Tamandua tetradactyla: one gene and its partners. The protein of the gene in region 1 purifies or fractionates together with the protein of each later gene. This does not show direct contact. Links are inferred from orthologs where the notes say so. Each region holds a gene or a part of one and is shown on either strand. Other genes may lie near its edges. The genes, in order: RBBP4, KDM5A, SINHCAF and ING2.

Region 1 (7,572 bases):
GAGCAATGTCAGACAATGCAGAAAGACTTACCTAGATCTGCAAAAGTAGAAAACTAAGATGACAGTGCACAGGATTTCAGCCTTGGGGAATATAGTCTAGTTCAGTGCTTTCTATATCTGGTTAATCACTACATTACCTGGGAAGTTTTAAAACATGGGTTCCATCTTTTGTTGCTCAGATGTGGCGTCTTCTCTCCAGCCAACACAACAAGCAAACTCACCGCCCTCCCCCTGTCTATGTGGGACATGACTTTCAGGGGTGTGGACCTTCCTGGCAACATGGGACAGAAATCCTAGAATGAGCTGGATTTAGAAAACCTTCTCGACCAACAGGGGGAAGAGCAAAGTGAGACAAAATAAAGTGTCAATGGCTGAGAGATTTCAAACAGAGTCGAGAAGTTATACTGGAGGTTATTCTTACGCATTAAATAGATATCACCTTATTAGTCAAGATGTAATGGAGAAGCTGAAGGAAACTGCCTGAAAATGTAGAGCTGTGTTCCAGTAGCCATGTTTGTTGAAGATGATTGTATAACGATATAGCTTGTACAATGCGACTGTGTGATTGTGAAAACCCTGTGTCTGATGCTCCTTTTATCTACCTTATCAACAGATAAGTGAAACATATGGAACAAAAATAAATGTTAAAATAAATTTAGTAGATTGAAATACTAGTGATCAATAAAATGGAGGGGTAAGGGATATGGTATGTATGAACTTTTTTCTGTTGTCTTTTTATTTCTTTTTCTGAATTGATGCAAATGTTCTAAGAAATGATTATGATGATGAATACGCAACTGTGATATTGCGAATTACTGATTATATACGTAGAACGGAATGGTCATATGTTAAGAATGTTCATGTTTGTTTATTGTTATATATTTTTTTAAATTTAAAAATAAAAAAAGATACATATTATTAAACAAAAAAACGTGTTCCAGATGATTTAGAAGGTCTGGGATGGCTAATATTTGGGACCCACTGGTCTAATAGACATAATTTAGCACATGAGTAAATACGGAATCATCATTCACTTAGGAACTCTGCCACAAGAATCTAAATAGTTTCAACTATCACTAAGAATTTCTGACAGAAACAAATCCATTTATCCTGAACTCACTAAGTAATTCTGATGATAAGCCAAACATGGTTAAATTTCTAAGTATTTATTATGGTTTTAGAAAACATCCTTAGGACAGATTTCCTCATTTGTTCTTCAAGCCACTATGAAAGAAATAGCTTCATTCTTAATGCCTGCTGAGCTGAATCACAGTCTCACAATATTTTGCAATAATCTTGACTTACTAAACCAGAGTTTGAATGAATTTAGATGCTATTTCTTCCTGAAACTTTTTTTCATACTCTTGGGTTGAGGTAAATTTTCCTTTCTCATCATTTCATCAGCACTACTACTCTTATGGTAATTTTAGTTATTTTTACTGTTTATATGCAGGAAATCAATGCAGGGAAATTGATATCTGGTATCCCCTGATATCCGATAGCTACTAAATCCTTAATAAATGTACATTAAGTTAAATATTTAATCTCCTCTATTGCAGATTTAAGCTACTCACTTCCAGGAAAACATGATTAATCTCTATTACCCTCACTATGCCCAACTCCATTCACATGAAAACCATTCCACCTTCACGTTGTTTTCTGCTCTCACCTCCTTTAATTGTAACTGCTCTAACTTTCTAATAACTAATAATTATTAGTTTACGTCTGCCTCTTTGAGTAGTCTGTGTGCTTCTTGAAGGCAGGTACCATGCCATACTCATTTTTTATATTCAACAGTTACTACTGCGAGACTGGGACTGTTAAAGAGTTCAAGCAAGTTCTGCAGAAAGAACTGGACACATACTCCTTTTTGAAGGCTGACAAGTTTTACATTTGGACAACTATAGCTTTAACATGGCTATACACATAATACACACATGTACATAAATCTATAGTTGTAATGTAGCGACTCAATTCAGTATCAGAGGCAGACAATGCCATCAAGTTTTCTCTTGGGTAAGTCACAAAACATTTTCACATTTTGCCAAGTTCTTTGACGTAAGAAAAAAAAAATATCAAGTGACCCGGAGAGAAGAAAATAGGGAAAACAATACGGAAAAAAATCAATGTGAAAAACTTCATGAGGGTCCGCCAAAAGAAAGTTTAAGAGATTCGTATCACCTGGTTACATCTGGAAGCCACTGTGCAGTGAGGCTGGGCCACTCCAGAGCATGGGTCATGACCAAATCATAAAGAAAAGGAGTGTTCTTTTTCCATATTTTGTACTCCTCATTGATCACACGTTCTTCCACTGCGTCATCGAAGGCTGCTAAAGCATTAAAAATAAATGAAGTTAGCAAACACAAACGGAAATCGAACACACTGCTACTTGAGTCGATTCTGAAATGGGGGGAGGAAAAGGGTTGCCCAAAGCCCCTCTAGGCAGTGGCACTAACACTCCTTTACACCTTGGCGGGATGGGGGCCGAAAACTACCCTGGGTTCACCCCAGCCAAACACCCCGTTATCCACTGGGTGTGACGGCTCCCTGGCTCTCGCACGCTCTCCTACGCCGTAATCTACAGTACCAGCGAGGAGGCCCGAACACCGACCCTTGGGGATAGGGAGCCGCGGAATGAGGCCCGGGAGAGAATACACCGATAGGGTGCGCAGAGAGGCTGCCGGGCTGCTCGAGGAGGGACTAAGCACCGCCAGCTTCAGCCGGCTCCGACGGGCAACCCCCTCCTACTGGCGCGCCGTTAGCCCGCTCAGTGGGGAGTTTTCCTCACGCTTTCGACGGTGGGAACCGCATTCTGCAAAACTGGGCCTGCCCTCGCTGTTAGGCCGTGTCGAGGCCGCGGCACAGACATGACTCCCCTCGGCTCTCCTAGGGCGGCCCTGGCACCCTCACCTTCCTTGTCGGCCATGGCGGACAGGCAAGCGAGGGGGTTCGCGGAGTTGAGCGTCGCGGGAGGGGCGGGGAGGCTGGAGGCGCTTGCTCAGCGCGCTCGGCCTCTATTGTTTCCTGCTGCCCCTGCGTGAGGCCCTACTTGCGCACCTTCGCGCCAACATCGGCCAATCGGGGCGTTCCGAACAGTGGAGTGGGCGGGGAGCCACATTCAGAGCCTATCCAGACGCGCAGAGTCGCTTTACGCGAGGCCGAGGCGCGCGCTCCGCCCCTTCCCCTATTCGGCTCTCGCTGACTTCCTTCGATTGCGCGCTCGGAGGGGTTGGTGGGGCTGGCCTCGCCTAGGGTCACGTGACAGAGATTTAGCATTGTACTCCCCTGGGCGCAGCCATTTCCTTCAAGCCAATTAAGCTTGCGACCCCTTCTAAGTACTCAATTGAGAAACCCTGGATACCTTTGGGGGAGGCAGGACGGCTCCTGTCACTCTGACTTAGGTAGTGTCTAATTCAGGTGCCTCCTATTTCCAGAACCTTCAAGTTGTTTGTTTCTTTAATCCTAAAAAAGGACTGATGAATCAAGTGCAGGAAATGAGGACTTGATCATTTAAAAGTGTATTCCAAGCGGCTGGGCCTAAGACGGAAGGCTTAGCGGCTAAACTACATCCGCACGCTACGAAAATGGAGTCCTGGTCCTTTAAAGGTGCGTGCCAGGCGACGAACTCTAGAGCGGAAGTTGTAATGTAGGGCTGAAGTCTGACGGATGAAGGGCGGAAGTAGACTACGCAATGTTCCACTCATGGCGGAGCCGGAGGAAGATGTGAGAGACTACAATTTGACTGAGGATCAGAAGGCAATCAAGGCCAAGTATCCTCCAGTCAATCGGAAGTACGAGTGTAAGTAGGTGACTCTCCTCTCTCTAGATAGGGGCTCACTGGCATCCCCTGGCTTCCGGCCTTGCCTTTCACCCCTCGCCAAAAGTACTTCAGACATGACCTGATTCCTCTGTGTATTGTAGTCTCTTTTGTACCTGTCGGAGTGACGCTAAAGAAAAGAGCCACCTAGTCTGAGATTCGAGAAAATTGGGCTCGCACATTTAGTCTGTTGAACTTTCATGTATAGATACTAATCATGTGTATCTTGTGGATTTTACTAGTGTATTATTTCTAAAGATAACCGTATTTTCTAGTGTTTCGAGGTTGTCGATGTCAGTTATCTCCAACAGTGGGCATGTATCTCCAACACGAGGATAAAGTGTTATCATGTTAGGAATTGAGAAAGCCAAATCAGGAACTTCTCATTTGGTGTTTTATATGGGTCGTGATGCTAATAAAAAGACGTGTTTTTTTATCATTCATTTGCTTAGATTTCAGGCAGATCACATAGCTTGTCTTTGCATCTCAGTTCCATCATAGTGCACATCCTCTACAAACGCTGTTACCATCTCTGAGGAAAATGTAGTTTGGGGAGCACATTTTATTTCCCTGATTAAAATCTTGCCTTGATTTCCCATTGTCCTCTGGATAAGTCTTTTATCATATTTTAATAGTTATATATAGAATTCAACAGGTATGCAGTGAAAAATAAGCCTAGAATAACCATTATTACCATTTTCTCATGTGTATGTGCAAAGATGTCGCAGCATTTACTTTATTTAAAACCAGTTTTCAGTATACAGGATGTTTCTGCTCTTCTGTTACCAGCAGTGCAGCAGTGAATATATTTGGACATCCGTGTTTTGCATATACACAAGTGTATCTGTAGAAAAACTTCCTGCAAGTTGCTTTGTCAAAGGATCTGTGTATTTTTAACTGTAATAGTTATTGCCAAACTGTTCTCCATAGAGGTGTTATAACAGTTAACACTCTCACTAGCAATGTATGAATGTATTTCTTTTCCCACACTTTTGCCACTTTTCGGTGTTATCATACTTTTTGGGTTTTTAAAATTTGTTATGTATCTTGTCATACTATCTACATTTTTCTGATTATAAGTGAGGTTAAGCATCTTTCAGTATGTTTGGGACTATTTGTGGTTCCCTTCTCGGAAGTGTATGTTCATATTCTTAACCCATTTTTGTATTGCATTGATGCTCTTTTATATTTAGAAATTTATTTTTATGTAGGTAAAATTATTAATCTTTTCTTTTTATGGCGTCTGGGGTGTCAATGTAGGAGACCTTACCTAGTCAGAGGTTATAATTCTCTCATGTTTTCTCCTAGTACATGTGAAAATAAAACTTTTATTGAAGTACAGTATGCATATAGAAAAATGTGCATAAATGAATTTTCACAAACTGAATATGCTTGTATAACTAGTGACCTGATTAACAAAATATTATCAGCATCCCAGAAGCCTCATGCTCCCTTCCAGTCACTACCACTCTCACCTGTCATGAGCCTGGCTTCCAACACCATAGATTTGTTTTGCCTGTTATTGTGCTTTGTGTGAATGGACTCACAGTATGTACATTTTTTTTTTTTGCTCAACATTGTATTTGTGAGATTCATATTTTTCTATATTGTTATAGATTGTTCTTATTTCTAATACTTACTGCTTTTTAAAGAAACATTTAAATCATAAATTGATCAGAATTGAGGTAAGGTGGAAAGTGAGTATCCAATTTAATTATTTTCCAGATGACTCACCAGATATTCTAACATCATTTATTCAACAGTTGGTTACCCTGCGATTGAAATGCCACATCTTTATCACATACGGAATTCCCTTACATGTAGTTGGTTGTGTTGCAGAACTTACCGTTCTAATCCTTTATCCTCTCTCTTTTTGTGCCCATGGTTTAATTATTGGGAATTTATGCTATCTTTTAATATCTTGTAGGACAGTTTCTCCCCCAGTACTTGCCCCTTTCTTGCCATTCTTTCTTGTTTATATATAGATAAAAATCAGCTTGTTGAGTTTGAAAAAAAAATTTCTACGGGTATTATTTTTTGTTAATAATAAACTTAGGGAGAATTAAAGCTTTTACTTTGAGTCTTTTTCTCCAGCAATAAGGTATGTCTTTCCATTTGTTCAAATCTTATTCTGTATAACCTCATAGCATTTCATTTTTTTTATTGCTAATGTAAATGACTTTTCTTCCATTATATTATCTCTGTGGTTGTTGATAATATATGTGAAAGCTCTTGAGTTCTATAATTAATTTTTATAATGGCACTTTATGAATTCTCTTATGGTTAGTATAATTTTCAGTTGATTCTCTGGGACAATTGTCTCCAAACTTTTTTCATTGCACATCCTGAATTATGTATATTCTACTATATGGTCATAACCAATGCATTATAAAACATTCAGTAAAAACAGCAATTAGGAATGAGAGAAAAAATAAAGTTTAAAATGTAGTAGTTTAAAATTGTGCAAAAAAACCTTTTTAGTCTCACAAAAATCCCGTTAATATTTTTATATTATGTTTCATGATTATATCTATAGAGATGACCATATATTTACCTGAATTATATGAACAGATTTCCTAAAATTGAATCCTCTTTGCAATCCAGGAATACTAAATCCCACTTAGTTGTGGTGTATTATTACTTTAATGTGCTATTAGATTCTATTGTGAACATTTTTAATAGAATTTTTACACTGATGTAATGTGAGATTAGTCTGTATTTTCTTGCAGCTTCCTTTTTTTGCTATTGACCACCCCTAAATCTACCTCCAAAGTTTCCTTGTAGCCCTGTTGTCCTTTAAGACTCAGATTAGTTGATCTCATGTATTCATTCAGCGCATATTACTGAATACCTATCATTCAGCCTGTATTACTGAGCACCTATCATTCAGTGTGTTACTGAACAGAAATTAGGAAAAAAAGAGCAAAGCAAATATAGATAGTCCTCAGTTTCTTGGCACTTACAGTGTTTAATCTTGTTTCCTTCAGGAATTCTTACCTGAACCCCTTAATCTAGGTTAGGTTTATCTCTTTTTCTCCTATAGTAGTAACAACTCTCAAAGTATGGTTTGTGGGCCCTAGAAATGATGTCAAAACTATTTTCACAATAATACTAAGTTGCTAATTGTTTTTGTCACTGCTTTGATATTTGATACATTGGTGGTGGGAAAACAGTATTAGGTTAAACTTCTGGCACTTTAGCACAATCTGAGGCAGCAAGACCAAAAGTAGTCGTAGTCATTGTATTCTTTACCACCACATACTTGCCATTAAAAAAAAAAGTCATTTTCACTTATGAATGTCTTTGATGAATCAGTAAGAATTACTAATTTTATTAAATCCTGACCCTTCAGTATACATTTTTAAAATAATCTTTTTAATGAAAGCAAAAGTATTACAAAATGTTTCTCCCATATGTGAAGTAAGATGGTTACCTTGAGAAAAAAAACTTATGTAATAAAGTTGTAAGCTGAATTGGCTGCCACGAGTGTTTGGCTGAGATTTTCTTGAAAATAGATAATGTGATCTGTCCTCAAAAAAAAAAACAACTGACGTATTTGTTGCCAGTGATGAAATTCAAGCACTCAAATGAAAATTAGGATTTTGGAAAACTCATGTCTGCTATCCTGAGCTTGTTGGCTTCCCAGTACTTAAAAGACTTTCTGATGAGATTGGTGATAATATTAGCAAAATATGTTTTTTTAAATTTTGTTTAATGAAAAGTGGCAATATTATCTGTGTAACTCAGCGAACTAA
Region 2 (7,264 bases), on another chromosome or scaffold:
TCAAAGTTTTAGGAGTTGGCACTCATAGAGGGCCTATAATAGGATTATAAATATCCTATTATTTATAAAATAACATAAATAAATTATTACTTTATTAATAATTTTAAAGCAAAACCATTATATTTTAATTGAATGCTTAACCAAATGAATTATTTCAGTGTTGTGCCAGTTTGAATGGATGTATGTACTCTAGAAAAGCCATGTTTTAATCCTAATCCCATATTGTAAAGGCAGTCGTTTCTTCTAATCCCTATTCAGTACTGAATGTTTGAAACTATAATTAGATTATCTCCCTGGAGATGTGACTCAATCAAGAGTGGTTGTTAAACTCTACCCATTCCGGGTGGGTCTTGATTAGTTTACTGGAATCCTATAAAAGAGGAAACATTTTGAAGAAAGCAAGAGATTCTAAGAGAGCAGAACAACATAGCCACGAAAAGCAGAGAGTCTACCAGCTAGCAACCTTTGGAGATGAAGGAAAACTCCTCCTGGGGAGCTTCATGAAACAGGAAGCCAGGAGAGAAGCTAACAGATGACACTGTGTTCACCATGTGCCCTTCCAGCCGAGAGAGAAACCCTGATTGTGTTCGTCGTGTGCCTTTCCTCTTGAGAGAGAAACCCTGAACTTCATCGGCCTTCTTGAATCAAGGTATCTTTTCCTGGATACCTTAGATTGGACATTTCTATAGACTTACTTTAATTGGGACATTTTTGTGGCCTTAAAACTGTAAACTTGTAGCTTATTAAATTTCCCTTTTAAAAAGCCATTCTGTTTCTGGTATATTGCACTCCGGCAACTAGCAAACTAGAACAAATGTTTTTATTTAGATTTCAATTATTACTCCTTTTTTTGTGAATAGTATGGCTTTCCAGATGTAAGTAGTAAAAATCTCAGACTTTTATCGTAAATCATTCTAATTGTATGCAATGACTCACACTTCCCTGCATCCATATCCCTTTGCAATGTTATGTTGTTACTCCTCCCATCATGAAATGAAGTCTATTTCACACACACCCTGAATCTAGGATGGCTTTCTAGCTTGTTTTGTTCAACAAAATGCATTGGAAGTGATCGTGTACATCCTGAAATCCAGTCCTTAGGCTTAGGCTTAGGCTTCCATTCTCACCCTCCTGGAACCCTGAAGCCATCATGTTGCGAAAAAGCCCAGTTTAACCATGATGGGTTAATTTCATGTATGCTGGTTTGAAAGGATGTATGCCCCCTAGAAAAGCCATGTTTTAATCAAAATCCCATTTCATAAAGGTAGAATAATTCCTATTCAATACTGTATGTTTGAAACTGTAATCAGATCATTACAATGTTGATGTGTATGTGGATGATGTGATTTAGTCAAGAGTGATTGGTTGTTAAGTTGGATTAGGTGATAACATGTCTCCACCCATTTGGGTGGGTCTTGATTGGTTTACTGGAGTCCTATAAAAGAGGAAATATTTTGGAGAATGGAGATTCAGAGAAAGCAGAGAAGAATGACATAGCCACGAGAAGCAGAGTTCACCAGCCAGCGACCTCTGGAGATGAAGAAGGAAAATGCCTCCCGGGGAGCTTCATGAAACAGTAAGCCAGGAGAGAAAGCTAGCAGATGACTCTGTGCTCGCCATATGCCCTTCCAGATGAGAGAGGAACCCTGACCGTGTTCACCATGTGCCTTTCCAGATGAGAGGGAAACCCTGACTGTGTTTGCCATGTGCCTTCTCACTTAAGAGAGAAACCCTGAACCAAGGTATCTTTCTCTGGAGGCCTTAGATCGGACATCCTATAGATTTGCTTTAATTGGCTCATTTTCTCAGCCTTAGAACTGTAAACTAGCAACTCATTAAATTCCTCTTTTTAAAAGCCATTCTGTTACTAGTATATTGCATTCTGGCAGCTACCAAACTAGAACATCATGTATCACCTTGGCCAGGTTATTCTTTCTAGTTATTTGTCAAACAAGCAGCGGCCTGATTATTACTGGGAGGGTATTGCATGGATTTTAATCATTAGTCAGTCAATTGTCTGTGGATGATTACATCTACAATCAACAAAGGAAACTGCCTTCAGCAATGTGAGAAATCTCCTCATCCAATCAGTTGGAGACCCTAAAGAGAGATCTGAGGATTTTAGCAGTCAGAAATAACTTTTATCTCTATTTCAGCCAGCCCTCCTCTCCTGAGGAATTCAAAATCATCTTCAAGTTCCCAATTTGTGGTCTGTCCAGCAGAATTTAGACTTGCCAATCCCCGTGGTTGGTAATGTGAACCAATTTCCTACAGTAAATCTTAACATTTATATATATAACAAACATACATATGTATACACACACACACACACACACATATACACACACATATATATCCTGTCACTTCTACTTCTCTGGAGAACCCTGACAAATCCACTAATTTGCCAAGTATGAGAAGCTATGTGGAGAACTGGGGCTTCTCAGCCAACAGCCAGCACCATCTGGTAGACATGCAAGTGAGACCATCTCAAACCGTTCAACCCAAGCCATCAGATGATTGTGGCTACATGAGTGATTTCAGATGAGACCAAGAGAACATCAGATTCTGAGGTTGTTTGTTATCCAACAAACAGAAATATTCCCTAAAAGTGTTTGCATATGGGGTTTAGGTTAGTGGGTATGAGTAATTGGGTATTAACTACTGTGGATGCTATAGTTAAACAAAGGAATATTATGTATGTCACATCCTGATACAGTCTCAAACAAAATTTGGCATATGTAAATATAGGATGAGGCAATGAAACACAAGGCAGTTTATTTGGTGAATGTTTTTTATTTATTTAACAAGAATTTATTGCATACCTTCTATGTACCAAGCATCCCCAGGAGCTGGGGATACTTTCCAGAGGAAGTGATATTTCAGCTGATGTATAGGAAGAAGGATACATAGGAATTTAACCAGTAAGAGGATATACATAATTGTTGGAATGGTGTGGGGTCAGGAAAGTACAAAAATGTTCCAGACAGAGGAAATATTACTTGTGAAGGCTCAGAGGTGAGAGTAAGCAGGATGTTTTAAAGCCATCACAAAAATTTATGTGGCATACATGGAGGAGTATAAGCGATGAAGCTAGGAAGAAATACAGAAAGTAGTAAAAGAGTTTGGATATGAAAGTGACAAGATGAATTCTGGGTTTCTAGACAAATTAATCCAGAGTCTGACTGGAGGGGCAAAGAACTGAGCAGTTATCACAGTTTGGGTTAGAGAACTTAAATTAGGATACTGGTAATGAGGACTGATAGACACAGATGGATTTAAAATTTTGGGGTGATACAATCTCCAGTCTTCACACACGATTGTATATAAGGGGAAAAGGAGTATAAGGAGTTAAGGATTATTTCTAGATTTCTGGCTCAAGCAATTGGATGAAATCATTCATAGAACCAGAAACACTGAATGATTTTAAGTGACCCAACTGGAATTGTCCAGTAGGTAGCTGTAAGTATTGGCTTGGAACTGGGTTCAGAAGACTAGGCTGGAAATACAGATTCAGGAGCCTAAATTGGCAATTTAGGTCCGGAGAGTAGCTGAGGCTGCCTGGGGAGTATGTATATCTAAAAAGGGAATCTAGGACGAAAGTTTACCTCCCAGTGTTTACTTAACACTAACGTTTCACAGTTTTCCTTTTAGTCCCTTCTACGTTACTCTCTACAATTTGGAGAAAGTGGGAGATAGACACTGACACACATGTTTCTGACAAGCAATGGTTATGGCTTTCACGGCAAATTGAGAAAGGCTTACGGGGCCAGGGTTGTCAGAAGGAAGTGGTTACTGTTATATGAGATGACTTGGAGCATGACAATTACCGGATAAGCAAGGAAAAGAGCTGCTACGTCTATGTGGGACGAAAAGCAATTCCTGGATGGGAGCTAATGTCCTACTGCAAGACTTGGGGGATAAATTCGACCAGAAGTTGCCATGGAGGAGGGGAATGGCCCAGGAAGATTACTCGAGATACTAGCAGTCAAAAAGACACACACACACAAAAAAAAAAAGAAAGAAAAAAGAAAAAGAGAAGGAGACACGTTGAAAAGGCTAGTAACTTGGTAAAAGGAAGGCAAGTAGGTTAAAACAAGCCGCAAACCACCAGCAACGGGGCGGAGTGAGTGAAGTTAGAACAAGCTCCTTTTCCTGTCCTCTTATACACAAAAGGGAACTGGACCCTCCACACCGGAAGCAGAACCTCTGCCCTCTGAAGCATTACACATTCCTCCGCGCCGGAAGAGCGCGTCCCGCCTCCGCCCCGGCAGCTTTACACCATTTCTACCTCTTCTGGAGGAGTGATCGTGGAACTCTCAAGGGTGGGCCGTCTGGACTCGTCGGACTGCGCAAAACAGTCGCCGGCAAGGAGAGAAGGAGCGACACTGCGCTTCCGGGAAAGGGAGGAAGAAGAAAGGGTCGCATAGCGAGGCGTCGTGGCGGAGGGATTTGATAGTACGTTGACTTCCGGAAAAGTCCTTCCCTTGAGAGGAAAAGCCCCGGAGGAAACAATAACAAACGAGAGGAGGAAGCGAGTCTGGTGTTCCTCTATTGAGCAGTTTTTGTCAGAGAAGATGTGCTTCGGTCCCTGTCAGGGGACGTGAAAGGCTTGGTGGGCTTCAGACAGCCTTTTTCCACCTGTTCGCCCACGGAGCCCTCCTGGGTATTGCCATGGCGGGTGTGGGGCCGGGGGGCTATGCGGCGGAGTTTGTGCCACCCCCGGAATGCCCAGTGTTTGAGCCTAGCTGGGAGGAGTTCACAGACCCACTCAGCTTTATCGGCCGCATCCGGCCTCTGGCCGAGAAAACTGGCATCTGCAAGATCCGACCGCCCAAGGTACTGAAGTCTGTGAGGACTCTTGGTTTAGCTTTATTTTTCCGGTTTTTCTGTCATTACGTATTTATTCACCCTTCTTTTTCAGCAGTTCGAGGCTAAGGTTCTGTATATTATTACCGTGTCTTTTATTTCTGAAGTCGAGATAGTGGTGTGTGTCCCTGGGAGCTTTTCCTTCTAGCGCTTGAAAGCTGATAGTTTTCTCCTTCTTTGGATTGAAGGCATGGGTAACAAAAGGCCTTTCGTTGTCCTACAAGTATGGCCTTCGATGTATTGGGAGTATTAGACTTTAGAAATGTTATGACGTGACATGTACCTCGTGTTCAATCCACATAACGATGCGATTATAAAACTGTTCTTCCTTCTGTTTCTTTATCCAGGTCCTATTACTGTTTAGTTTATTAAATATTCGCAGGCTTCATCTCAGTGTTAGGGTATCTTAATAGGTAATCTGAGCTCTAGTTGTTCCCCAGAAAGAAACGAGAACCCCAGACTGGATTATTGCAGCACTGAAAGTCTTCCCAGGGGTAGAGAAGGAGCAGCATTTATCTTTAAAATTTAGAGGTTTAGGAAGAATTGGTTGTGTCTTGGAGGTGAAAGAAAATGTTGAACTCTCTCGATCCAAGGAACCAAGGATCAAAGATGTACGAGTCGCGTTATTTCTAAATAACCAGATATGTTGTAGGTTTATTACCATCATCGATCTTTAATATAAGTTAAGGAAAACAGATACTACCTCTTTGGGTGAATTAGTGCCCCAAGAGGTTAAGTGATTTGCGCAAGGTCACAAGGTTTATTGGTCGCTTGAGTCATACAGGATCTCAGGTTATCTAGGTATTGTCTTTATCACATTAGACATATGCTTTTCGAATGATATTCTTGGTCCACCTGCACCAGGGTTAACTGGATGCTTGTTAAAATGCAGATTTGTAAGCCTCATTCCCAGACTAGATAGATCAATTTCTGGAATCTGCTTTTCTAGCAAATTACTTTCATATGATTCTTAATGCACATTAAATTTTGTGCACCATTGTCTTGGACAGTGCTTCCAGAAGACACCTTCCTTTATGTTTTGTTTTAGTGGTAGTAAACAAAATATTAGGCACTGTTACTGTGTTGGATTTTAAAAACTTCTCTCTTAGATTGTCATAGAAAATTCATTTGTCCTCACCATAGACTACCACAGCAAATAAAAGGAATTTAGCTGGGAAGCAGGAGGTGGGCAGGGAGGAGAAGCTAATTTAGCCCCTCCTGTTTGGCAAGGGCTTTGTATGTATATATTGTTTCAGTAATCTTCTGTGAAGTTTTAGTAAGTAAATAAAGTCCTCATTTTATAGATGAGGCAAGTCTCCGTAAGTTAAGTCAGTTATTAAGTGTGTGATCATGGGTAAACTGCAAGGTATATTTTTGAACCTAGGTCTGTAAACAGATTCTAAAGACCATGCATGCTATTCCTACTGTGATGAATGAATTGATTAAGATCATAGACTATCAGTTGTAAACAAACAATTAACAGGTAATTACTATGGTGATATGTATCACCATCTTCTAAAAGCTTCAGTAACCCTCATTTTCTGTCAGAATTACCTAATATTGACAAAACCTTCAACATTAAGGTTTTTTTCTAAACTGTATTTTAATCTACTCTGTTGCCTTTATTAATTAGAAATTTTAAATAAAGTTTTAGTAAAATTGAAGACGAAAAAGTTTTAAAGTACTTAATACACATTTGCAAATATGTTTTTACATTTATGTGTAATGTGATATAGCAGTTTACATTCTATATTATGAAAATCTTTAATTAAAAAAAATTTTTTTAAAGAGGTTGAAATAGTATACCTTCTCTTGTGTGTTATATCATTTTTATTGAAATAAATCTTGTTTTACAAGCAGAATTTAATCTTAATATTGGTGGGTTTCTTTAGTTTTCAAGGGAAGATAATTTTTTTGAACTACTACTCAGATTTTTATGTGCCAAGTCAAACTTTATTCTCTAGAACTCCACTTGAAATATGCTATCTCATTTCAGTTATTCCACAGCATCCATCTGGAGATTTTCCTTGTCCTAGTGGGTTTGCAAACTTTTTTTTTTTTTATATTTGGGTTCCAGAAGCTGGGCTTTCATTTAAACAAAGGATTTTTGTAATATAGAATGTAAAGTGCTATGTCACATTACACGTAAGTATAAAAACATATTTCCAAATATATATTAAGTACTTTAAGACTTACTTTTTGTCTTTAATTTTACCTTTTTTAGTTTCTTTCAAATTCTGACTTTTTTTTTTAAATAAAGTTGGATGTTTATTGGTACAGGGGCTCATTGCATTCCACTTGAAATAATTTGGGAAAGCATAATTGTGGGAAATAACAGGACTGGTGAGATTTGAAGAGATATTATTTTTTTGAGTATTATTGAAATTATTTTATCTAA
Region 3 (7,678 bases), on another chromosome or scaffold:
TAATCACCTATAATACTAATAAAATTGAGTCAAATTTTTTCAGTGTACTTTATTTGTAAAGTACCTGATAAGCATTTTACGTTTGGTGTTTTTTAAGCATTTTAAATACATGACTCGGAGAAATAACTATGCCCAAAAGAAAGCCAGAAAATTATCAAAATCCAAAGTTTTCAATTTTCCTGACACGTTCTCTTTCTAACCACTTCAGAAATGTAAGTGCTAATATTAGTTGCCTTTTGGTATTTGTTAACTGGGGCAACCAAAACTTGGGAGATGTGTCTATTTACTAAGACAACCATGAAAAGGCACAAAATGGATTTCAACTTGTATGGATTGTGTTTTAGTGTTGGGGTATACGGCATTTAAGGAGAGCTACATTATTTTCTAGTAATGGCCACTTTTAGATTTCAATCTTTAACCATAATTCAAATAAAGAGTAAATCAGGAAAGAAACAGCAAATACGATGCTGCTTATTGGATGTCTAGACTGCAAGCAAACCCCAAATACCAAAAAAGCATCCATGTGTCAAACCAGCATAATTTTTGAGCTATGCCTAGGGCTACATACCAAAAAAAAAGTTAGCTTGAAAAGTTAGGAGGGGTAACCAGAGGGTCAACTCCAGTTCACAGGAACTAAGAAGTTACCACAGTTAGCTAGCCATTACCCCGTGTCGTCCCCAGAAGCAGCTTCCAAGCCCCTACGTGATCATTTCTTCAAGGTCATCCTAAAATAATGCAGCGAATAATGCCTAAACATTGAGTCGGACATATCTTTAGGGCAAAGATCCCCCTTCCCGGAATCATTATACAAATTCTTTAAATGCCATGAGGTTTTTCTCGAAATTCACCAGAACCAAATTTCAGTCTTTAATTTACACGGGGCAACCAAATGTTCAATTTTGCAACATAAATTAACAGAAGGATTTGCCAAAAGTCTGGCAAAAACAGGTGCTTTCAGTGTACTTTTAATGACGAGGTCATATTGATTTTTTTAATTATTAAAAAAAGGGGGGAAATCGCGTTTTCTTAACCTTCTTTAGGACAGCGTTGGGGGGGCGGGGTAAATACAGCGGCCTTGGACAGGGTCCACGTTTGGTTTAGTCGTAATTCCTAATCATCGAGTACTGGAGTAATCGAAGGTTAGACGGCAGAGGGAGAAAATAAAAACAAAGAAACCGACTGGGGTCATAGTTACCAGAACAAACTGCTCCGCCCTACCACCCCAAGTGAAACCAAAAACCCCCCAACCAAAAGAATCCTTCCCCCTCCCGCTTCCCCCTCCCACACGCAAACACACAAAGACAACAACGGCACGCACAATTCGGCCACAGTCCTCACTTCCCCTTCTTAGCGACAGCGGGAGCCCCGAAACTTCCCCACGGTGGTTTTCGGGTGCCGTCGGGACTGGGTCCCCACGACTTGCGAGCTACATCTCGGCGGGGCTGGGGAGGTGCTCGCGGGTTTCCCCGAAAGCAGCAAAGCGCCTCCTCCCCCGTCTTCTCAAGACCCTCGGGTCCCCCCCCCAAACTGTTCTTTCCCCCTCCGACAGGCGGGGACGGCCTGGGGACACCAAGCCAGCAAAGACAAACGCTCCCTGGTGAATTTGTTGGTAAATAAAACATCTTGTGTCGAGAAGAAAGTTCCTCTCGAGGGCCGCTCGCCAGAGCGAGGGCAGCGGGAGGTGAACCGCGTCCTCCCCTCCTCCCTCACCTGCGCCGGAACAACGGGGCCCTCGCGCGCGCCCGCCCGCCCGCCCCCTGGGCCCGGCGCCTCCCGCAGGCCGCGACTCCCGCACGCCGCGCTGCCGGGGCTTGTTCCTCCTCATGGCTTTGCCCTGACGTAATTCAAACATGGCAACAGTTCGACTTCAAAGGCGAATCCACAGACCTCCCAGACGCAGGCTCCCGGCCCAAGGGTAACGGGGCCGAGAACTCCGGCCACGCTCTCTCGGCCGCTGCGGCCCCCAGCGCTGGGGCGGGGGAGGAAGCGCCGGAGGCGCCCGTCTGCCTCGCCCACCCGCCCGCTCAGAACGGGTTAGCACGCCGCCTCCCCGCGCACCAGCATGGCACCTCATACAAGTAGCGCAGCCAAAGTTTCCCCACGAGGGGCTGAGGGACAAAAGCCAACCCCTCTCCGAAACTCGCAAGAACTTGGGTGGGCCCCGAGCCGGGCGGCCCTCAGTCCCGGCGGGGCTCGCACGGGCACATGCAGCCCTTTGTTTTCTGTCCAGCCGGGCGCTGCCTACGTGCAGCATCGGGGATGTCGGATTGTTCCTCAGGGGCAAGGCACTTGGCGATCACCGAGAGGAAGGGTCCGGACGCCGAACCCCGAGAGCCAGGAGTCCTGTCCTCCGGTCCTTCTCGGAAGCGGGCCGATTCAATTCAAGTTTTTCCAATGTCCTTGATAAGAAAGCCCGAATTACCCTCCCCGCTCAAGCGGATAGTTGGCGACTTTCACTCTGCTTTTTAAACTGGCAAGACGCCATCACCAGCAAATTACATTGTCTTGCCGATCGGACCTACCCGACAGCGACTGCATCTCAAGGCTACCAGGAAGCTGGACCTTCAGCCAGACCTCCGCCTAAAACGCGGGTCGCGGCACGTGGTCTGTCATGTTTAATACAAAAAAGCGATGCCCTTCGGAGTTCACTCACTCCTTCCGCGCGGACAACGCCACTGCCTCCATCCCCAAGTCAACTTCGCTGCAACTGGCCATCTTAAACCGCAGATGGTGGCCCTAGAAAACCCTCACCATAGCGCCCACATCGACGCTACAGGTGAATAAATAGGTTTAATAAAACTTCAGGCTCCAAAGAAGCCTCGGACACCAAAGCTCCATGGGCGCGGTCCGCGGAGGCAGGCGTGGGGAGCTGGGGCTGTTTTAAGCGGCCGCGTGTTGCTCTCATTGTCGCATCCGCATCCCTCCGGAGTTGAGCAAACAACGCCACGCCGCGTGCACTCGGGCAAATCCCAGCACTTTCCCAAAAAGGCCGATTTAAACCCCCTCAGGGCCGCCAGCTGTAAAGTCGATAACAACTTAGTTTTCGAGCGAATGGCATTTACTGTCCATCTTAAACAAAACACGCGTGAGGGGCTGTAATAAACTGAACCATGAGGTTTAACATTTAACAACGGCGTCCGGCCGTGACCGGGGCTCGCGCCCACGCGGATGCACGGACCCAGGGTCGCTCGGCAATTGCCAGCAAGTCGCTTTTCTCTTGGGCCTTTCAGCCACGGGGTTCCTTTTAGCCAGAGAACACTGCAGCTGAGAAAAGTCATTGTCACCTTCAGCGTGGATCCCTCAACTCCAGCAACTCCTCAATTATTTTCAAGCTCCACTCACTTCCCCCACCCCAAGACTTTCGGTCTGCTTCAAATACCCCATCCCCCAAATTAAAAATACAAACTAAACATGTGTATACAAAAGAATGTGGCGTCTGAAGAACACGAAAACAGCGCTCCAGCAATATCATCTCCAAGACAAAACTTCCTGTTGGGGGGGGGGGGTGAGGGAAACGACCAGGGAGGTGAGTGAGGTGAAAAGAAAAAACCTGAAATCAAAGCCTCATGAAGCAGTTTTGCACCAGAGTGATGCTTAGAATCACTCACCTTCCAAAAGCAGCCGTTCCACGCGCAATAACGTTCCCGAGGTGCGGAGTGCACACCAGGCCAGCCCCCCTCCGATCAGTCCCTCCTCCTCAACTGCCTTGTCTAGAAAGATTGTCTCCTGCAGTTCTGCAGTTGCTACCGCTGGTCGGGAAGGTGTAGATTCCGCTTTCCCTCTGCGCACGCGCGGCTCCCGGTGCAAGATTCTCTTGAATCGAACTTATTTGCATGCGGGCACGAGCGCGTCGAGGGCTGGGGAGGGGAAAAGGCCTGGCGGCCGCGCGCGCTCCCGAGGCCTCTATTGTCCTTTTAAGGGGAGAAGCGCCGCGGCGCGGGAAACGCGGCGGCCAGAGGGAAGCGGGGGCGGGGACTGCTTACTACGGCGGACGTCACATAAACAAACGCCCCCTGGCTGGAGGCGGCGGCCGAGAGTGAGTGCCGGGATGGGAAAGGCGGAAAGGTTAGCAACCAAGGGAGTAGATTCGATTGCGTGAGATGCTTTCCACCCTGAAGTTCGTAAGGCACACCATTTCGCGTTGAAAAAATTTTCGAAAGCTGTTTTTACCAAATTTTCACACCTGTACCCAGTTTCTCGCCTGAGATGAGGGGAGGTTAAGCACTCGGACTGAATTTATTCTTCTTCCCCGTCTCCTAAATTTTATTGAAACTTGAGTTTTTGTAGCTTAAAAATAAATTCTTCGGGGCCAGCAGATGTTACTGTACCTGCAATTTTAATCAGTCGTTTAACAAAGTCCTATTTTGACACCCTATACGTTCACTTAACTTCACTCGCCCTACTCAAATAGTACCCTACCCATCATGATCCAACTTTTTTCCCAACACTTCGGCCTTAAGATTTCAAACCAGTCCTAACTGAATGGTTGTTAATTTCCATGGGAACAGTGCCCTTTCTCAAAAGACTAGTCAGTAGTCTAGGGACATGCATATATATCTCCTCCAGCTACTTATAGAGTATTCCACTCACCCAGAAATAGTACCACTAACCTGGTCTTGGGAATTGAAAAAGTGGCGAAGAAAGTGCGGGACTTTTCCTTGTGGAATTTATAATAAACCAACACTCTAAACAGTTCTAGCCTCAGGGAAATAAAAGTAGCATTTCTCAAATTGACAAGTGAAAAAAAATTTAAATAAAGGTTGCGATACACCTTTATCCCGAGGACATACCTAGCACCAGCAGGCAGACAGTTTGGTTTGATAATGGAGGGAGGTTGAAGAGAGATAAGGATGTTTTTCCCAGATCCACAAGCTACAAAAGTGTGAAAACAGCCAAAAAACTTAATTATCTGCTGACAAATTTCTCTGTTTTCACTCTAATGTCAACAGTGGATTTAAATAGATACAAAGCATCTGAAAATCTAATTTAATTCAACAGCCAGTTCCTAGTACATTCTTACAATGCGGACTTCTGAAGTCTTCAACTAATGCTTTTTTTTTTAAAAAGTTCTGTAGCAGGCTATTCCTATGGCTGTATATGAAAACTACTTTTTTAAATATCCGTGAAGGGGGATGGCATCTCTTTCTAAAATGTGAACTCCTTAAAGGCAGGGATTTCATATCTTATACTTTTAAGTGCCTAAAACAGTGTACAGTAGATAACAGATTCTGAATAATTGTTTGACAAATAATACATCAGTGGTTTAAATTTATTGTAAATCTATTTCAAGTTAAAACAGCTTTACTTTAGTTTATAATTTTGTATTTGACCTATAATGAAATTGGAGAATATGGTGATCACCTTGATTCATATGACGCCATTCCTGTCCTTATAATACATAATCCTGAATAGCCTTAATAAGTCTTTATGGGCTTTCATTGGTGCAAATTGAATCCCAAACTTGAATCTCTATGTTGTTTTTCAGAGAATTTAGAAAGTTGTCCTGAGTTGTCTCAAATATTTATTTGTTTATAATAGATCCTCCAAAAATATTTTAAAATTATTATATGCCTTTCAAGATGTGAAAATTGTAAGCATCATCATATTGTTAAACTTCAGTTACTGCTTACAATAAATATAAAAGTGTAGCTAGAATGAGAAGTATCCAATATCAATCAGATATTTCTATATATGTGAGGTACTAAGAATATGAAAGATGAAGATTCTAAGCTTCCATTAACTTCATATAAAGACATTTTATATCTTAGAAAAATTATTTAAGGTTAGAAGGGAAATATTTCTTTAAAACTTAGAAGATAAAGAAATGTAAAATCAAACAAGTGATTGTCATGATTAGAGCTAGTAGTCATCTCTGAATACACCAAAGAATTAAGTAACATAAAACTCAAATCCTTGGAGTCACCACATCGCTGATATAGCAACTGCAGATGTGTGCGTCACATCAAGGTTTCTGAGAAGAATCTGGACATCAGTCAGAAGACAAATCTCTGGACATAGGTAATCTCAGTTAAGAGGGAAGATAACTGTCTAATTTAAGGGAGTTCACATTTTTTTTATTTTTGTGAATATTACAATGAAGTCTGTGTATATTTGGTATTTTCTGTACTTGTAATGTTTATAAGAAATTGACCTATTAGAGTAACAGCCTTGTGATTCCAAAGTAAAATGTATAATTGAAAAAAACAAAAGTATAGCTAGAATGCTTTTTCTCTTGGAAATTTATATAAAGAATATATATGGTAATCCAAGGATGGAATAGGTTCAAAATGTGCATGCATTGCAGGAATTGTAGTATTCCTGTTCAGATAAGAAATATCTGGACGTTCTGAACTACTGGACTAATTTCACACAGCAAGACTTCCTCTGCTCTCAAAGAGGTCAAGCAGTATTTCAGGTAATTTTTGTATGAAAGTCAGAAACAAAGCTCAAAGAGAAATCTGGATTCTTTAGAATCTTTTTTTTTCTCTAACAACCACCTGCTATTTTTGAACAACCAGGTGCATTCCAAAGGTTCTTTTGTTCATTTTGTTGCTTGAACATGCTGTTATGGCTGGCCCTATCCAGAGCCAATAGTTCATTTATAGGTTACTTAAAAATACTATTATATAAATAGCCCAAGTGAATTTTCGTTATTTAAAAAAAATGGAAAGAAAAGTAATTTATACCATGTAAATAAACTGGATTATAATAAATTGAATTTCACCATGCTAGAAAAATATCTGAGTATTTTTTAAATGAAAGTAGTGCTTTGTGAATTCATAATGAGTTCTCAAAGACATTGAAATTGAAAATATAGCTGTGTAGCCACATACTCTAACCACACCAGCTACCTTGCTTATTACATATTGTCCCACTGTAGAATTACTTCTAATGCTTGAATATTTCCATTCATTTAGTAAAAATTTAATGACAGTGAAACCCTTTTGCCCTAGAGAAGCTCAAGCCACCACACTTCTTCTAATTTCTTTCTGTGTAATTCTACTTGTATGTTGTTTTTTTCCCATAGAATTTACCGCCTTCTTTTGAGAGTTTAATTGCTGCCAGCAACTTTACAATTATTATAATATCCTTGAAATGGCGGAAAAATTATATGAAAGTCTGAAAAGCACAATTCTTATTTAGTAATGAGGGATAATATCAGCAATTTAGTGATGTATTTAATAATGATTGCTTTTAAAATGAAGTCTGATATCCTGTTTGTTATTATTAATCATTGGGTTTCATTCCTTAAAAGGTACTAGCTATAAGACTAAACCAAGAGCTCTTTTTCTCACAGCAAAACAAGTACAATATTTTGTTACCTCTTTGTTTAAATCCTTTTGAAATTCTAATAAGTGGTCAGAGCAAATCAGATAACTTTACACTATAAGGTACGTAATTGGTTATGCAATCTAAGAGACCCCAATCCTCCAACAACCGTTGACAGCTGCCAGGAAAACAGGGTATATATTACTGAATCAAAACTACTTTTCAAATTTCTGAACTTAAAGACTTAAAGAATTGTCACAAGCTCATTCTTAAAAGAGTTACCTCTGAATTTACAGAGGTTTTATATTTTATGCTACTATCTTATGACATTTAAATAGCATAGTTTAAAAAGACAAAATTAACAGTAATGAAAATAATTTTAAGAGATACATTGACAAACTTGAGTAAG
Region 4 (7,156 bases), on another chromosome or scaffold:
AAAAACATTTGTAATATGAACAAAGAGCACAAAAGTACACAACTTTAGTAAACAAAACTGTGAAAGATGAGCTTAGTAAGCATGTACATGGAGTAAAAATTGGATTGTTGTTTTTACATTAATCTTGAAATTAGTCACTTGCATGAACAATTTCAACGGAGTTGACGATTATTATAATCTGTCAATCTTGCAAGGTCTACTACAATTTTTTATGTTACCAGAGATACATATGATAATTTTAGATGGTCAAGAATGCCCATTTCGTGTTAGTGAATTATAGTATCCTTCCCAACTTCAAATGAACAGAAAACAACTTTTATGAAGACAAACATGTACCTTTAAAGAAATGTAAAAATCTGCAAGCTTAACAAACTACAGGCTTATTATTATTGGAAAAACTAAAAATGTTCAATACACAATTCTTAAATACATATGTTTTTAAGCTACTATTTTCAGGCTACCAATCCTGTATATGTTCCATGCTTGTAGCCCTTCGAATGCTTTTATATAAAGAGTGAAAAAAAGTTTAAATAGCTTAAAAAACAAAGACACACCTGAAGGAGCAGGTTCTGGGGTCAAATATTCCCCACCTAATTACCTGGGCAGGTTACTTAAACATCTTGTTAGTTTTATCAAATGTAAAACGAGAAAACTTCCATTTTTCTTCATAGAGTCATTGCAACGATAAATGAGATGTTCTGGACTTGGGGCGGTGACTGGCAGATTTTAAACGGTCAGTATTAATTCCTTTCCCCACTAACAAAGACTAGTCCTAGCGACAACATGGGCTCAGAAGGCAGAAATAAAACATGGAGACACCTGAATGTTCTAACATGCCACAAGCCAGGAAATGTCACCGTAGAGGCGTGACGCTTAGAGACTAAATCATAGGATTAGTGATGTGTCTAGAAAAACACAGAAAGCATGCAATACGTTATGCTGAAAGTCGTTATGGCTGTTTCCACATAATGTCCACTGCCTGTTACTTGATTCAGGGTTAAATTAAGTGCATAACGACTCCCCTTTTAAACTGCTTCCCTCCTAGGAGCAGGCAAAAATATCAACCAATAGTGGAAGAAAAAACGATACTCTGAGTGAGAAAGTCTAATTCTCTGGTCCTAGCTTCTTGTGTCGACCACAAAGGGCGGTTTTCGTCTCATCCCATAAACTTAGCGCAGGAGACACCCAGGGGTGAAGGGACGCCAGGCGGTTGCCCAGTCAACCAACCCGCTTCCTCCTGGGCCCGGAAGTGACGCAAGGCCCAGAATCAACGCGGTGGCCAGGGCTAGCTACGGTCGCAGCAGTTGATTGTGCCCCCGCTGTGATTCAGTAGTTGGAAAGAAGAATCGAAAAATAACACCAACATTGACTGCTAGGGCTGAACTAATGTCCCACATTGCCCCGACCCCCTCCCTAACAGCAGCTCTCTCCCAACCCTCCCACAACCAGCCATTTTCGAGGCCGGCGGGAACGCGCGCGTCCGCGCCCCTCCCACACCTACGTCACGCCCAAGCCCCGCCTCCAGGGACTGGGGGCCCTCCTCGCCACACACACACACCCCTCTTCCTTTCCCCACGGGGGACCCCTCCCCTTTTAACCACTCGTCCGTAGGAGCTAGGAAAAGGCTGCGGCCCGGAACTTTCTCAGGGACGGGGAGAAGGGAGCGACTCCTCAAACCCGGAGCCGGGAGCCAAAGAGCGGCGGGAGGGACCTCACTGGAGTCCGCCTTCACGGCCCTCTCTCGCCCCCTCCCCCCCCGCACGTTCCAATGCATCTGCTCTCAGGGGGTGGGGGCCCGAGGAGGGTGGGGAAAGCCAGGCCCCGGAGACCAGCGGGAGCCCGGCGGCGACTGGCCGCCTCTGCCTAGACTCCCTCGCGGGGCAGGCGGGTCTGCGGCACGGGGCGAACAAGCGTCAGGACAAATGCTTGCTGCTTAAAATGGCTGATTCCCTTCCACAGCAGCTGCAGCCGCTGGGTGTGCAGTGGGTGCTGACAAGCGGCAGCCCCCCGCCTAGAGACCCCACAGAAGACCTTGCCGATCGCAGCGGGGGAAGGGAGGGCCACGAACACGGTCTCCAGTCCCTCTCCCCCGTCCCATACACCAGACTCCATCTGTGCACTCGAGGAGACTGTCACAAGAGAAGGGAAAAGTGGGCAGCCTCCAAGAGCTCGCTCGCGGAGGCCAGCGGATCCCGGTTGGCGGGGGAGGACCCCCACGAGCAGCCCCGTGATTCCCTACCTTGATATTTGTTATCCAGCTCTCGCAGAACAGACACGTTCCTCTGCATGTCGTGAGGCAGCGACTCCACACACTCGAGGTAGTCCTGCACGTAGCAGGTGAGGAGCCGGCTCCGCTCCCCGGTCAGAAGCGCGGCGGACGAGTACAGTTGCTGCTGCTGCCCTAACATCCTGCCGCCGCTGCTGCTCCTCGCCGCCGCCGCCGCCGCCGCCTCCGCATCCAGCAACCACACTTGCAACAGCCACGGACGCCGCGGCTCCTGTGCTCAGCAGCCCGGCACCGCGGGGACACCGGCAGCCACTCAGGAGGGCACAGCCGAGTCCCCCGATCTTCACTCCCCCAAAGAGAAGCCCTCACTCCCCGCCCCCGCGGTAACAAATCCAGGGGCGGGGCGAGGTCAGTGCCTCCTCCTTTCACCCCTCCCTCCCCAGGACTGGAGCAGCGGGGATCCCCCCAGCGGAGCTGGCGCCGGGGTCCCAGGCGTTGACACTTCCTGTTTCCCTCCGAGTCTCCAGATGCTACCGATGCCGCCTCGTAGCTCGGATCCCCATGACAAGCCTCTCGCTGCCCCCTTTTCTCCCAATCACCCTCCGTGCCTGTCGGAGAGTCTCTCACTGGACTGCTCCCGCCCCTCCTCCTGCGGCCGCCTCTGCGCCTGCGCAGGACTCACTCCTAATAAGGCCGGGGTCCGCCCCTACCGCCCTACCGAAGGGTTCGCATTCTCCCGCCTTCCCTCCGCCACTCGGGCGATTGGTCTGTCAACTCTAGGCTTGGGGGGAGGGTGCGGAGGACGGCCAAACGGCAAGCTGCGCCCCGCCCCCTCTTAAAGGGGAAGCACTGTCAAGCCCGGCTCTTCGCCCAATGTCTGAATGGAACCTGAAAGGGAAAGTGGCTGACTTCTTTCTTCTGTCCTTCCCACAGGAAGAGGGAAACTTGGCCCAACTCATTCGACTCGGTGCTACCGACTTTCTTGCCATTAGGTGGATCTAGCGCTGCCCCTCTGGAGCCTTATAAGGAACAGCAGGCGGTCGCTTTTCGCTACGCCCTGGAGTGAGGCCTGTGGGAACTACGCGACCCAGCGTGCAGCGGGGTGCGGCTCCCGGCATGCGCTGTGGCTGTGCCTCAGCCGCCGCCGTCGCCGTAGCCCGCCGCTCGGTTGCCAGTCGCGGTGCTGCCGCCTCAGCGGTTGCCTCAGCGGTTACCTCACGGTTCCCTCTTCCTCCCTCCGTGGCCCTCGGGCTCAAGGAGCAACCCGGGCTAGCAGGGAGGTAGGCGGTGCCCCCCTCGGCCCCCTGCGTTTTCTTTACGTCCGCGCGATTTTTAAATCTCCCTTAGAGGGCGTGCTTCCGCCCTTCCTCAGACGCTAGAGGTTTCCCGGCTTCGAGGTGCCTTGCAGGTTTTGTCCCTTCCCTTTTCCAGAAACCCACTATTTAAATTTGGGGGGAAGGGATGCTGGACTGAGTCTGCCCTGGAAAAGTTTTTGTCTAACAGACAACCTTTGAGAACAAATAAAAAGAAACCATTTTCGGGTTCAGAATGTTTAAGCCTTGAACGTCGGCGTGGGCAAACTGGCGGAGTGGGAGGGGACACCGCCACCTTCCCGTCTCTTTTTACCCTAGAACTAACAAACACGGCGGGGGGGGGGGGGACGGAGATGGGAATGAAAGCATTATTCCGGAATCATGCTCACAGCCTTATGTAGGAGGTATACTCGGGTTTAATTTCTGTATAGTGTCTGTTGCGTAAAGTGCCAAGCAAGAGAGCTAATTTTAAGTACGAATGTCCTCTCAGTGTATATAACAACGTGTTTTTTTTAAAGAAATGGGTGTAAATAGAACGAATACACGGAGAATTTTAATGGAATGCCTATGTAAATAAACCGTATTGTGAGTAGTACCTTTGAGGAAATATTAGTGCGTGGTAAGTTTGGATTATCTTATATCCAGTTTGTTTGCAGCCAGTGGTACAACTGTATTATGACCTATTTAGAGGACTTTATTATTATTATTATTATTATTTTCTTTCAGTTCCAAACAACATAGTCCTAAGATTAAAGTTTGAATTGAGTGCCAAGAATAAGAATTACGTTCACATAGTTTGAATATGAAAATTTGTAAATATGCAGCCAGTGAGAAGTCTTCCCTTCTTTCGAGCACTTTTGAAACAGCTATTAATACTAAGTAACCGTGAAATGCTAGAGTCCCTAAATGCAAAGAGAAGTCTAGAGAAAAACTTACATTTCAAACCAGAACAGAGCACGCCAGGGAATTTGACGTTTTGGGAACAACTGAAATATTGCAAAGGACCCAGGGATTGTTCTATGTTATTATCCTGTGATACTTTGAAGTTTTGACCTCTTGAATATTACCACAATTTTCATCCAGGCATTCCACTGTGACTGGAAACAGTCTTGGGATTTTATTGTTGTCATCTTTAATCTTTCAAATTAAGCAGCCACCTCTTGCCAAAACACAGTTGTTGGTAGGAATTGAATTTTACCGTTTTTTACCTTCACCTAATATTTTTATTTGTTCACAAGTTTGCATCAGCTAGTATTTCTTGAAGGCTCCCAAATAATGCATGATGCCATGTTATTTATTAGTTAGATACCAGATTTATCTATGAGATTTTATTCATTCTGGCAGGTGGTCACAGGAAGATGTGGCAAAGGGTTATTAGAAACTAGAAATGAGAAAAGGCAATAATGCAGGAAACCCCTCCAGGAACCTAGAGCAAATTGAGAGGAAAGGTTGAGAATGGATTGGGAGAACTTTTATGGCATTATTTTCTCCTTTCATAATTCATTTGTACAGTTTGATAAGAAGCAAAAATTAATTATTTTTCAAATTGTTTTGGTCTAAACCTAAGGCACACTCTAGTATGGTAATATATATGTATATTTGTGTGCATGAGTTATTTCAGTTATGTACCTTTGTTGCTATATTTATAAAGGTTAATCAAAAGCTTATTCCTGCTGTACTTTTGAAAGGAGCCTTTGTGGGAGAGTAGTTACACAGAATAAAAAAATCACCATACTCCCCAAATTCCATACTTCACTTTGGTTAATTATGAATGTCTCTTTTCTGCTTTGTAGTCACTTAACTGGAAATTTGGGGTCTTTTTAGAATGGGTCTCCTTATCCTCTGCTAAATGTAAGATTTAAAAATCCCTAATTCTCCAATATAGAAGATAGTCTATGAATAAAGCAAAGAGGCAACTTACTCTTCATTGTATTTTCCCCCACAAACAACTCTAAAAAGACAAGTATCTAATGCTTCCAGGTTAGTAGAAGTGTATGGGGATTAACTTTAATTTCTGAATCAGTCTTAAATCAGCCTTTGGCCTCCAAGACTCTAACCTTTGAGATGTTTGTCCCTGGTAGAAAGTGTGCCTCCAAAGCTATCTAATATAGCTCTTATTTATGCTGTGAGAGGCCTGAGCAACAACTTCACACTCTGACTGAAAACAACTAACAAGTAATTCTGAAAGATTCCCCAAATGTTTACTGTGATGTGTTCTGAGAAAATTCAACTTTTGTTTGAGTCAGGTCAATTAAATTTGAAATCCTTTTCTTTTTTTTCTCCTTTTAATATTATTAAGCTCTTCATTATGGAAAATTCGAAACATCAAAGTAGAAATATTAGTACAGTAAATCCTGATATACTAGGCATCCAGCTTGAACAGTGACCAACATATGGCCAGAATTATCTTTAAATGCTTTAAATATAAACAGAGATGAGATTTTAAAAACTATATCACAATACCGTTATGCCAACTAAAACAATTTCTTAGTATCAGTATTCAGATAATTCAGAGTTCCCCATTTTCTTGTACTTAGTTCGTTGAACAGGACTCAAGTAAGTTCTACACGTTGCATTTGATTAATGAAGTTTTTTTTTTAAACCAATTAGAGGTAGTTAATTCACTATGTGATTCAGAGAAGCAGATAGCAGTGCCCTTCTATTCTAGTTTGCTAGCTGCCAGAATGCTATATACCAGAAACGGAATGGCTTCTAAAAGGGGGATTTAATAAGGTGTTAGTTTACGGTTCTAAGGCTGAGAAAATGTCCCAATTAAAACAAGTCTATAGAAATGTTCAATCTAAGCCATCCAGGAAGATTCCTTGGTTCAAGAAGGCCAATGAAGTTCAGGGTGTCTCTCTCAGGTGGAAGGGCAAATGGCGAACACAGTCAGAGTTTCTCTCTCACCTGCTTTATTGCATAAGTCCAACACAGGAATTGTAGAAAAAATTGTAGAAAAAAGAAATAAAATTTAAAAATATAAAAATCTCTATAAGCTGGAGAAACTCTTCTCAGCCTCTCAGTTTACTACTAATCTAATTTACAATTAGATTAATATCTGTTTTAGCAATTATTTTGCTTTCCAGGAATCATTTAAGACCAAAGGACAGTGTTAAGAAAATGCTAGATTCTCTAGATAGTATAAATCTGAGCAATTTCAGCCTATACTTGTAGTTTATATGGTAGAGAACACAAAAGTTGGTGAATACAGCCAATTCAGTCAATTCTGCTACTTCAGGTTACAGGATGACTACTAGCATCAAAAGATGGTCCTACTATCAGGAGATAGAAATAGGATAAGATATTGGGTAATTGGAACTGAAGAGATACAGATTGTGCAACAGGACTGAATGTAAAAACGCAGAAATGGACAGCACAATACTACCTAACTGGAATATAATTATGTTAAAACACTGAATGAAGCTGAATGTGAGAATGATAAAGGGAGGAGGGCTGGGGGCACAAATGAAATTAGAAAGAAAGATAGACGATAAAGATTGAGATGGTATAATGTAGGAATGCCTAGAGTGTATAATGATAGTGACTAAATGTACAAATTTTAAAAATGTTTTGCATGAGGAAGAACAAAGGAATGTCATTACTGCAGGGTACTGAA

The links.
Region 2: the proteins of RBBP4 (region 1) and KDM5A purify together in Homo sapiens (co-immunoprecipitation; 3 studies listed by BioGRID and IntAct, with this or other methods). This does not show direct contact. The link is inferred for Tamandua tetradactyla from reciprocal best matches to the Homo sapiens genes RBBP4 and KDM5A.
Region 3: the proteins of RBBP4 (region 1) and SINHCAF purify together in Homo sapiens (affinity purification with mass spectrometry; 3 studies listed by BioGRID and IntAct, counting the BioPlex papers as one, with this or other methods). This does not show direct contact. The link is inferred for Tamandua tetradactyla from reciprocal best matches to the Homo sapiens genes RBBP4 and SINHCAF.
Region 4: the proteins of RBBP4 (region 1) and ING2 purify together in Homo sapiens (affinity purification with mass spectrometry; 3 studies listed by BioGRID and IntAct, with this or other methods). This does not show direct contact. The link is inferred for Tamandua tetradactyla from reciprocal best matches to the Homo sapiens genes RBBP4 and ING2.

Annotation. Positions count from the first base shown.
Region 1 is NC_135328.1:193,217,495-193,225,066, forward strand, and holds the start of RBBP4 (histone-binding protein RBBP4), read right to left. Parts: upstream 3,061-7,572; 5' UTR 2,927-3,060; coding exon 2,911-2,926; intron 2,330-2,910; coding exon 2,182-2,329; intron 1-2,181. Other genes in the region: ZBTB8OS (protein archease), read left to right, coding at 3,667-3,799. UniProt on the Homo sapiens protein: Core histone-binding subunit that may target chromatin assembly factors, chromatin remodeling factors and histone deacetylases to their histone substrates in a manner that is regulated by nucleosomal DNA.
Region 2 is NC_135333.1:64,212,041-64,219,304, forward strand, and holds the start of KDM5A (lysine-specific demethylase 5A), read left to right. Parts: upstream 1-4,243; 5' UTR 4,244-4,671; coding exon 4,672-4,836; intron 4,837-7,264. UniProt on the Homo sapiens protein: Histone demethylase that specifically demethylates 'Lys-4' of histone H3, thereby playing a central role in histone code. Does not demethylate histone H3 'Lys-9', H3 'Lys-27', H3 'Lys-36', H3 'Lys-79' or H4 'Lys-20'.
Region 3 is NC_135333.1:94,268,122-94,275,799, forward strand, and holds the start of SINHCAF (SIN3-HDAC complex-associated factor), read right to left. Parts: upstream 3,083-7,678; 5' UTR 2,539-3,082; coding exon 2,523-2,538; intron 1,997-2,522; exon of another isoform or gene 1,888-1,996; intron 1-1,887. UniProt on the Homo sapiens protein: Subunit of the Sin3 deacetylase complex (Sin3/HDAC), this subunit is important for the repression of genes encoding components of the TGF-beta signaling pathway.
Region 4 is NC_135352.1:29,357,273-29,364,428, forward strand, and holds the start of ING2 (inhibitor of growth protein 2), read right to left. Parts: upstream 3,019-7,156; 5' UTR 2,952-3,018; coding exon of another isoform or gene 2,755-2,951; 5' UTR 2,409-2,754; coding exon 2,240-2,408; intron 1,397-2,239; exon of another isoform or gene 555-1,396; intron 1-554. Other genes in the region: uncharacterized protein LOC143669889, read left to right, coding at 2,755-2,951, 3,161-3,293. UniProt on the Homo sapiens protein: Seems to be involved in p53/TP53 activation and p53/TP53-dependent apoptotic pathways, probably by enhancing acetylation of p53/TP53. Component of a mSin3A-like corepressor complex, which is probably involved in deacetylation of nucleosomal histones.